2 linked regions of the Callithrix jacchus genome follow. The protein of the gene in region 2 purifies or fractionates together with the protein of the main gene of each other region. This does not show direct contact. Links are inferred from orthologs where the notes say so. Each region holds a gene or a part of one and is shown on either strand. Other genes may lie near its edges.

Region 1 (4,091 bases), on a different chromosome or scaffold from region 2:
CAGCTCACTGCAATCTCTGCCTCCTAGGTTAAAGCGATTCTCCTGCCTCAGCCTCCTGAGTTGCTGGCCTTTTTCTTGAAAATTAGTCATTTGAATTTTGCAATAATTTCTATAGTTATTAAACAGGCTATTGAATCCATCCACAAAACTTAAAATGCAATACTTAACAACAGGGCCTTAAATAAAATAAATGCCAGCTCTCTGATCTCACGGCCAACAACCTGAGATTCCTGCCATCTGGTCCCAGTTCAGGACCTTTGCGCCTGCTGTTAACCCTCCCCGTCCCCCGATCTTGCTTCTATCTGGCCTTTGTTCAAATGACACTTCAGAGGAGCCTTCCGTTATCACCCTTTATAAAATGGCCTCACTCTCACTTCCCATCCCTTTACTCTGCTCTGTCCTTCTTTATTATGCTGGTCACCATCTCAAATTATTATTATTATTTTAAGATAGAGTGTCGCTCTTGTCACCCAGGCTGGAGTGCAATGGCGGTGATCTCTGCTCAGGGCAACCTCTGGCTCCTGGGTTCAAGCGATTCTTCTGCCTCAGCCTCCAGAGTAGCTGAGGTTACAGGCTCACACCACCATGCCCGGCCAATTTTTGTATTTTTTTGTAGAGACGGGGTTTCACCATGTTGGCCATGCTGGTCTCGAACAATTGATCTCGGGTGATCCGCCTGCCTCGGCCTCCCAAGTGATGGGATTACAGGAGTGAGCCACCGGGCCCAGCCCTTAAACTATCTTTATTCAGTCAAGCGCTTTTATTGTCTCCCTCAGTACAATGTAAGCCCAAGCAGGAGAAGACTTTGCTTTAGTCACGTGCTGTAGCCCCCAAAGCCCAGACAGTGCCTAGCACATACGAGATGCTCGATGAGCAGTTGATTGAATAGATTAGACATCAACGCAATCAGGCTATTCACTTAGGGACTCTTTGCTAGGCGGCGGAGAGGTACGTTACAGTACTCTACACAACACGCATGCGCGAAAAAAATCAGGGAAGTGTGATCGGGAAAGGGGCGGAGCGTCAGAGAGAGTCTCGTGGACATAGGCGGTTCGGAGCGGAAAGCGGCAGGTGGAGGGGCGGCTTGGGGCTGAGCGCGCGCGCGCAGCGCAGACGCCAGCTCCAGGAGACTGAGGTACTCAAGGTGCCCGAAGGCGGGGTAGTGACCTCGCGCGTGCGCTTTGCCAGCGACGGCTCCTGGGCCTGGTGTGTGGGTAGGTCTTGGCCTCTCGCGGCGCATGCGCAGTGCTGACGGCGGAGGGATTTCAGGTCGAGACCCACCCCCTGCTCCAGTCGGTAGCTGAGGCCGCGCGGGTTGTTGAGCAGCGGCCTTGTGCGCTCGCTGCGCGGGCAAGGGAGTCAGGCAGACGCGGACGCCGTCGGAGTGGAAGCCAAAGCGGAAGTTCTTGTTGCTGAGGGGCCGCCGCAGCCGCCCCGAGCCTCCGGACCGACGCCAGACCCAGGAGGGCGCCGCGCGGCGAGTGAGTGTGGCCGAGTGGTCCGGGGTGCTGGGCCGCTACCCACAAGCCCCTGCGGTGGGCCCCGGTACTTTTACCTGCAGCCAGGCCCCTTTGCCGCGTCCCCTGCTGCAGGTCCCTTCTGCATCCCTTTCCCGAAACCCGAGCCCTCTGCGCACCCACGCCTGCTTCCCGTAGCGTCCTAGGTCCCCTACCCACAGGCCCTTGCGGTGTATGGCCTTTTTTCTTTTTCGTCTTTCCATGTTGTCCTGGACCTTTACCCATAATTCCTTTCGTCTTGGGGGCGCCCAGGTCTGTTACCCACAGGCGCTTGGCTTTGGGGCTTCGCTGCTTATGTTTCTCTTTGCCCGGAGACTTCAGACCTCCAGGCCTCTGCAAACCGCATCTCATAATTTGTCCTCCAAGATACGAGACGAGCAGCCAGCCACAACTGCTCTGTGCCTCCTTTCTCGGGTCCTTGATTCCCCCAGAAATCCCCAGGGAAGCTCTCCGCCACACAGCTCGTGGGTCAGGACTCTGAGACCTCACTGCTCAGGAACCCTTTTCCAGCCTTTGTTTTTTGTTTCCTTTACGGGCCTGATTTTCACCTCCACCCCCACCAAGAGATGCCCTTTTCTCTTCTAGCGTAGGACGGTTCTCTGCCCTTTCAGAGCCTCTTCGAATTCCGAGACTTTACTCCTGTTTTCTCTCTTTTTCTTTTTTTTTTTTTTTTTGAGAGTCAGGGGACAAATAGGGGCTTTCTCTGTGCAGACCCAATCTAACCTAAGGCTGTCCTGCTTCTGCTCTCAGACTTGGCAAGATGACCCAGTTCCTGCCGCCCAACCTTCTGGCCCTTTTTGCCCCCCGTGACCCTATCCCATACCTGCCACCCCTGGAGAAACTGCCACATGAAAAACACCACAATCAACCTTACTGTGGCATTGCGCCGTACATTCGAGAGTTTGAGGTGAGTTCACTGAGCAGGCCAGGAATGGTTTGGGTTGTGGGGTGCAAGGATTGGATCTGGGAGTCCAGCCTCTGACTGGATTTGCTAGCTGTGTGATTTAAGCGACTGGCTTCATCTTTGTGATCCTCAGTTTCCCTGTTTTAAATGGGGTTGGAGCCAGGTGTGGTCGAGTGCACCTGTAGTTCCAGCTACTCAGGAGGCTGAGGTGGGAGGATTGCTTGAGCCCAGGAGTTGGAGGCTGGATTGCTTTGTGATTGCGCCACTATACTCCGGCCTCGGTGACAGAACAGGACCTCATCTCTTAAAAAAAATTTTTTTTTTTTTTTTTTTAAAGTGGACTTGTGGCCAGGTGCGGTAGCTTATGCTTGTAATTTCCAGTACTTTGGGAGGCTGAGGCGGGTGGATCACCTGAGGTCAGGAGTTCAAGACCAACCTGGCCAACATGATGAAATCCTGTCTCTACTAAAAATAGGAAAATTAGCTGGGCATGGTGGTGGGTACCTGTAATCCCAGCTACTCGGGAGACTGAGGCAGGAGAATCACTTGAACCCGAAGGGCAGAGGTTGCAGTGAGCCCAGATGGAACCGTTGCACTCCAACCTGGGCAATAGAAAGTACTGTCTCCGAACAAACAGACAAAGTGAGGCTGGGCTCAGTGGCTCACACCTGTAATCCCAGCACTTTGGAAGGCTGAGGCAGGTGGATCACCTGAGGTCAGAAGTTCAAGACTAGCCTGGTCAATATGGTGAAATCCCATCTCAACTAAAAATACAAAACTTAACCGGGCGTGATGGTGCTTGCTAGTCCCAACTACTTGGGAGGCCGAGGCAGAAGAATCACTTGAACCCGGGAGGCAGTCATTGCAGTGAGTCGAGATTGTCCCACTGTACTCCAGCCTGGGCAACAGAGTGAGGCTCCCATTTCAAAAAAAAAGTGGGGTTGATGGTATACCTTTTGTAGAATTTCTGTGAGAAAGTTCAGTTGAGTAGTGGTTGAGGATTCACACTTGGCTTGCACCATTTAATAGCTCTGTGAGTTTGGGCAAATGTGTATCTTAATGCATTGGTTTCTTTATCTTTAGCAAGGGGATAGTGGTAGCACCCCTCATACTGTTGGTGGAGAATTAAATGGCAATGTGTATGTCAGGGGGCTTGGCATCAAGCAGGCAGCCTATGTCGGCCTTTGCTACTCTGTTTACTACTTTTATTGTTAATAAGATGGTGTTCATAAAGGGCTAGCACCGAGCGTTGGAGGGCTTAAAACCCCAGACCAGGATCTTAGTTCTGCACCTTCAGGGTAAATGACTTCAGGAATGAATGACTTAGGCTCCTGGACCTCTCTGTTTTTATTTGTGAAATTGGGATGACAATGGTCATCTTGTAGGCGTATCTGAGGACACCTGAGGAAAGCTGGCACACAGCCAGAAGTTACAAGAACATTCTCGCATTGGGTAGGAATGGGCAGCTGGAGGTGGAGGGAGTTGCAGAGCAGAACTTCTTAGATAGGACGGGCGTGGTGGCTCACACTTGTAATCTCAGCACTTTGGGAGGCTGAGGCAGGCAGATCACGAAGTCAGGAGTTGGAGACCAGCCTGGCCAATGTAGTGAAACTCTGTTTCTACTAAAAATACCAAAACTACCTGGGCGTGGTGGCACGTGTCCGCAGTCC
Region 2 (4,161 bases):
GGTCTACCTAGAACATAAACTTCCTAGGCCCTGTGTTCCAGTGGGGGTTTCGGTGTTTAGGACAGAGTCCCTTTCCCCTCTGTAGTGTTGGGTGTTCATTAATCACTCTTGAAGAGGTAAGGGGCTGGGCCTCAGCCTCCCCAGAGGCCATCAGTGGAGAAGGGTCTCGCTGACCTCAGATCGTGGGCATTTCCACGGCACACCATCCCTCCCAGTACGCTCTAGCAATAGGAAGGCTGGGAACGCCACCCAAAGCCACACCGTTTTTGCGGTCTGTGTATTTGGACGCCTCCCCAGCACCCAGTCAACGAGTTTCTTTTTCCACAGCAGTCAGTCACTCTCGTGCAGTGTCAGTGATTTATTGGTGTTTCAGCTAACCCGGTTACTCTCCATTTCAGCCATCAAGGTCTAGGGAGCCACTCCATTCCGAGGAGCCCTCAGCCAGCCTCCTTCCTGGTCAGCTCCTCCACTTTGGCCACGTAGGCCCTCATGGCGTCCATCCTGGACAGCCCTTGGTTCGCAGTCCACGCCTCCCACTTGGCCTTGGCTTTCAGGTCAGAGGCGGGAGGCGCGGGGAGGTGGCAGTCGCCCCGGGTGGCCTGCTTGTACCAGCCGTAGAGCAGCAGCTTGTCCTGGTCGCTCAGGGGGCCCTTCAGCTGCTTGAGGGCGGTGCGCGCCAGCTCGAACTCCACTTGGCACATGGGGCGGGAGGCGGCCGGGCCTTTCCGGGCGATCCGGGTGCTGGAGGCCGGAGGTGGGGAGGTAAAAAGGCCGGCGTCAGACCTCCAACTCGGGGGCAGGGGACGGGCGGCGCGTGGAAGAACACGCAGAGTCTGTATTTTCTTCTCCGCGACTGCAGGCCCGGGAGCCAGTGTCTGGGTCTGTCCACGATGTTTCTGTGGAGGAGCAGACGTGAGAAGCGCCTCCGGTCCCAAACGCGGCCGTCCCAAGGGGGCGGCGCGGCAGCGGCGCGCACAGAGTGCGAGCGTAGGACGAGCTGGGCGGGAGGAAGCCGCGCGTGGGGAGGCCGCGCTGGGTGGGGGCGGACAGTGTGCGGGACGCGCCCGGGGTCACCGGATGAGGGTGAATGCGGAGCCGGGGCTCAAGCCGGACGCACTGGGACCCGGAGGCAGGCCCGGGAGCAACGCCCGATACCTGACGGACGGGAGGCCTCTGCGAGGAGGCGGTGCTGTGGCTCTGCGCGCTCCTCCGTGAGGACTGCGCTTGCGCGGGGGGCTATGGGCGGGGACTGAGCACGGCCGCCGTGGCGCCTGCGCCGCCCATTGTGCCGTGCGTTCGTCGCCGCGCCCGCGTTCTCTGAGAGGGAGAGCCAACCCCGCGCAACCGCCCGCGTCGCTACCATGGACCTAGGTGGGTGCCGCGCTCCCTGCCCGGGCTGCGTCCCTCCACGCGTCAGCAGGGCGGTGCTCCCTGGCGCGTCTCCTCCCGCTGCGCGCACTGATGGGCCCAGGCGGAACGTCCTCCGCGTCGGGGCGGGTCTGGGGTTCCGGGTGGCTTTGGCTGGGGACCCGGGCCCGGCCTCGGGAGTCGCGCCGCGGAGTGAGGGTGGAACCCTCTGGGCCGGCGCACGTGCTATGGAAGCGCGGCTCCTTCAGCGCCCGGACTGCCGCGCTCCTGAAAGGCGCGTGTCTCCTGTCGTCCGGCTTCGTCTCGGCGGAGCGGGAGGGGGACGGTGCGTCTGCCCCCGAGGGCTGCGCGACTCTCCACGGAGGCCGCGGGCGTCCAGGTCCCGCGCAGAGTTGCCGGGGCGGCTGCGCGCCTCGGAACCGGAGTGGTCGGGGCCAGGCCCGGAACACGGAGCAGGTGGGCGGGCGTCCGGAGAGCTGGGGCCGCGGCGCTTCGGCACCAGCTCTCGGGAGCGGAATGGCGTCCGGGCACCCTGAGAAAAGCGTTTCTGCAGCTTCGTGTTCGGGCCTTGAGCGGGAACGGCGTTGTCAAGGTGGTCGTGATGCGTGAGGTCTCGCATGTGACCCGGCGCGGGGCTGGCGCGGTGAGCGCGGAACCACCCGGTAGCCCTAGCTCTTGGCTCTGGCGCGCGCTGGGCGCCGTTCCTGACCGAGCGCCGGCGGGTTTTCCAGCCGTCACTGCCCTGGCGCTACTGCTGCAAATGCGGCGGACTGCCTGCGTTTGGAAGGCGCGCGTGGATGGCCAGACATTGGCCCAAAGAAGCTGATAACGCAGTAAAATTAAATTTGCAGCGCTAGGGGGGGCCGCATTTTGGGGTTTGGGCGAGCCTCCTGACGGTAACCCTAGCGAGATCCCTCTGCAGCCTCGGCCTCAGCCACTGTGAGCTGAGGTGGATTTTCTCCGCAAATGGGTTACATGGGAGTGCTGAGCGCTGGGCCTGTGGCTGCTCCCACACATGGTGGCAAGGGCAAGACAGTCCTTAGTCTCCTGGAATCCGTGTTATCTCTGCTGATGTCTGGCCTGTAAAATGGAGACTGAGCTCTCAGGGGCATGAGAGACTGAGGAAGAAGCATCTCTTGGTCCTAGAAAAGGGAGAGGACTCAGGAGTGGGGAATAGTGAGCAGTGTCTATCCTGGGAAAGGGAGAAGACTAGGGAGTGAGGAATGGTGAGCATTGTCCCGATCCTGGGAAAAGGAGAGGACTCAGAAGTGAGGAAAAGTGAGCAATGCTTGTACCCTCGTTTTACTTCCTGGGCCAAAGGAAACATACCTGATAAAAACCTATGTCCTTTGATGTTTCTGAGCTGGGGCAGGCAAAGAACAGTGACAGGGTTTTGATCCTGCCAATGATGAGAAGGTTTGGGGAAACCAACATTGACTGAGCCCTGATCAGGCTCTGTAACCTGATTCTTAGTGTAGCTGTATCACATTTATCCATCACAGCGTCTCCAGGAGATGGGGTCAGGAGATAGCAGTACTAACCCACTACCAGGGGCTTGACTGGTATGCATCATATAATCCTCAGAGTCGTAACAAGAAGTCTGTATTATCCCCAAAGCTGCAGAAGGAAGGCTTGGAGAAGCAATCTGACCATGATCACATCCCTTACCCACCCCCCTTTTTTTAGGGGTCTGGGGGGGTCTCACTATGTTACCTTAGCTAGTTTTGAACTCCTGACCTCAGGGATCCACCTGCCTCAGCCCCCCAAGTAGCTGGGATTAGAAGTGCTAGCCACTGCACCCCTGGCCAGAATCACATTACTTTTAAATGGCTGATCTAGGAATCAAACCTATGTTTGATTAAACATCCCAAGATGTAAGTCTGTCAGTTATTCCTTCTCTGCAGGAAGGACTTAATTTAATGAAGTATTTTCTGTATCTACTCCCTGGTTTCTCCCACAGAGCCTGGGCCATGAGTAGCTTGTCTTTGGAAGGAGCTGTGGGGTGGACTGTTTCCCTGAAAGGTAGAACAATGTTTGAAGCCTGCTCCCAAGGCAAGGTTATGAAGGGCGAAGGCAGGGCTTGTCTGATTGCTTCTGTGCCCATTACCTGTGGCCATGTGATTGCTTCAGTGCTCATTACGCTATGGCTGTGTGATGGCTGCTGTGCCGTTACCCTGTGTCTGTGTGATGGCTGCTATGCCCATTACCCTGTGGCTGTGATTGCTGTTGTGCCGTCACTCTGTGGCTGTGCCCATTACCCTGTGAATGTGTGATTGCAGCTGTGCCCATTACCCTGTGGCTGTGTGATTGCTGCTGTGCTGTTACTCTGTGGCTGCATGATTGTGGCTGTCCTCATTACCCTGTGGCTGTGTGATTATCACTCTTCCCCCTTCATCTGTCATGAGAAACTCAGCTGTCATGTCCTGTGGTACATGCTCAATAGCTCTGTCGTTTGTACTGTCCTCGTGCTATTTCTGAACCTCTCTCCCCACATCCTCCTCTGGCCCATCCTTTGCTGAAGGGTTTGCCCTCAGCAGCCCAGCTTGTTCTTTTTACTTTTCCTGAGGGATCTCATTCTCTCTTGGTTCCGGTGATCCCCTTCTGGGCACATGCCTCTCAGAGTCACATTTCCCAGCTGACTTACCCCCTGAACTTCCACCCGGCATTGCAACTGCTGAAGGACATCTCCTCGATAGCCAAAATCCAGAATCACATTTCCCAGCTGGCTTTTCTCTTCAACTTGCATGGGGCATTTCCACTGCTGGAGAACATCTGTGCCTTGATAGCCAAAAT

What was found. Proteins that work in one complex are often made in the same cells at the same time.
Region 1: the proteins of GEMIN4 (region 2) and SNRNP70 purify together in Homo sapiens (affinity purification with mass spectrometry; 5 studies listed by BioGRID and IntAct, counting the BioPlex papers as one, with this or other methods). This does not show direct contact. The link is inferred for Callithrix jacchus from reciprocal best matches to the Homo sapiens genes GEMIN4 and SNRNP70.

The regions. Positions count from the first base shown.
Region 1 is NC_133523.1:42,899,841-42,903,931, forward strand, and holds the start of SNRNP70 (U1 small nuclear ribonucleoprotein 70 kDa), read left to right. Parts: upstream 1-1,291; 5' UTR 1,292-1,485; intron 1,486-2,267; 5' UTR 2,268-2,277; coding exon 2,278-2,424; intron 2,425-4,091. UniProt on the Homo sapiens protein: Component of the spliceosomal U1 snRNP, which is essential for recognition of the pre-mRNA 5' splice-site and the subsequent assembly of the spliceosome. SNRNP70 binds to the loop I region of U1-snRNA.
Region 2 is NC_133506.1:63,630,167-63,634,327, forward strand, and holds the start of GEMIN4 (gem-associated protein 4), read left to right. Parts: upstream 1-1,361; coding exon 1,362-1,824; exon of another isoform or gene 1,825-3,287; coding exon of another isoform or gene 3,288-3,420; exon of another isoform or gene 3,421-4,161. Other genes in the region: diazepam-binding inhibitor-like 5, read right to left, coding at 438-701; uncharacterized protein LOC118153659, read right to left, coding at 778-896, 1,156-1,363. UniProt on the Homo sapiens protein: The SMN complex catalyzes the assembly of small nuclear ribonucleoproteins (snRNPs), the building blocks of the spliceosome, and thereby plays an important role in the splicing of cellular pre-mRNAs.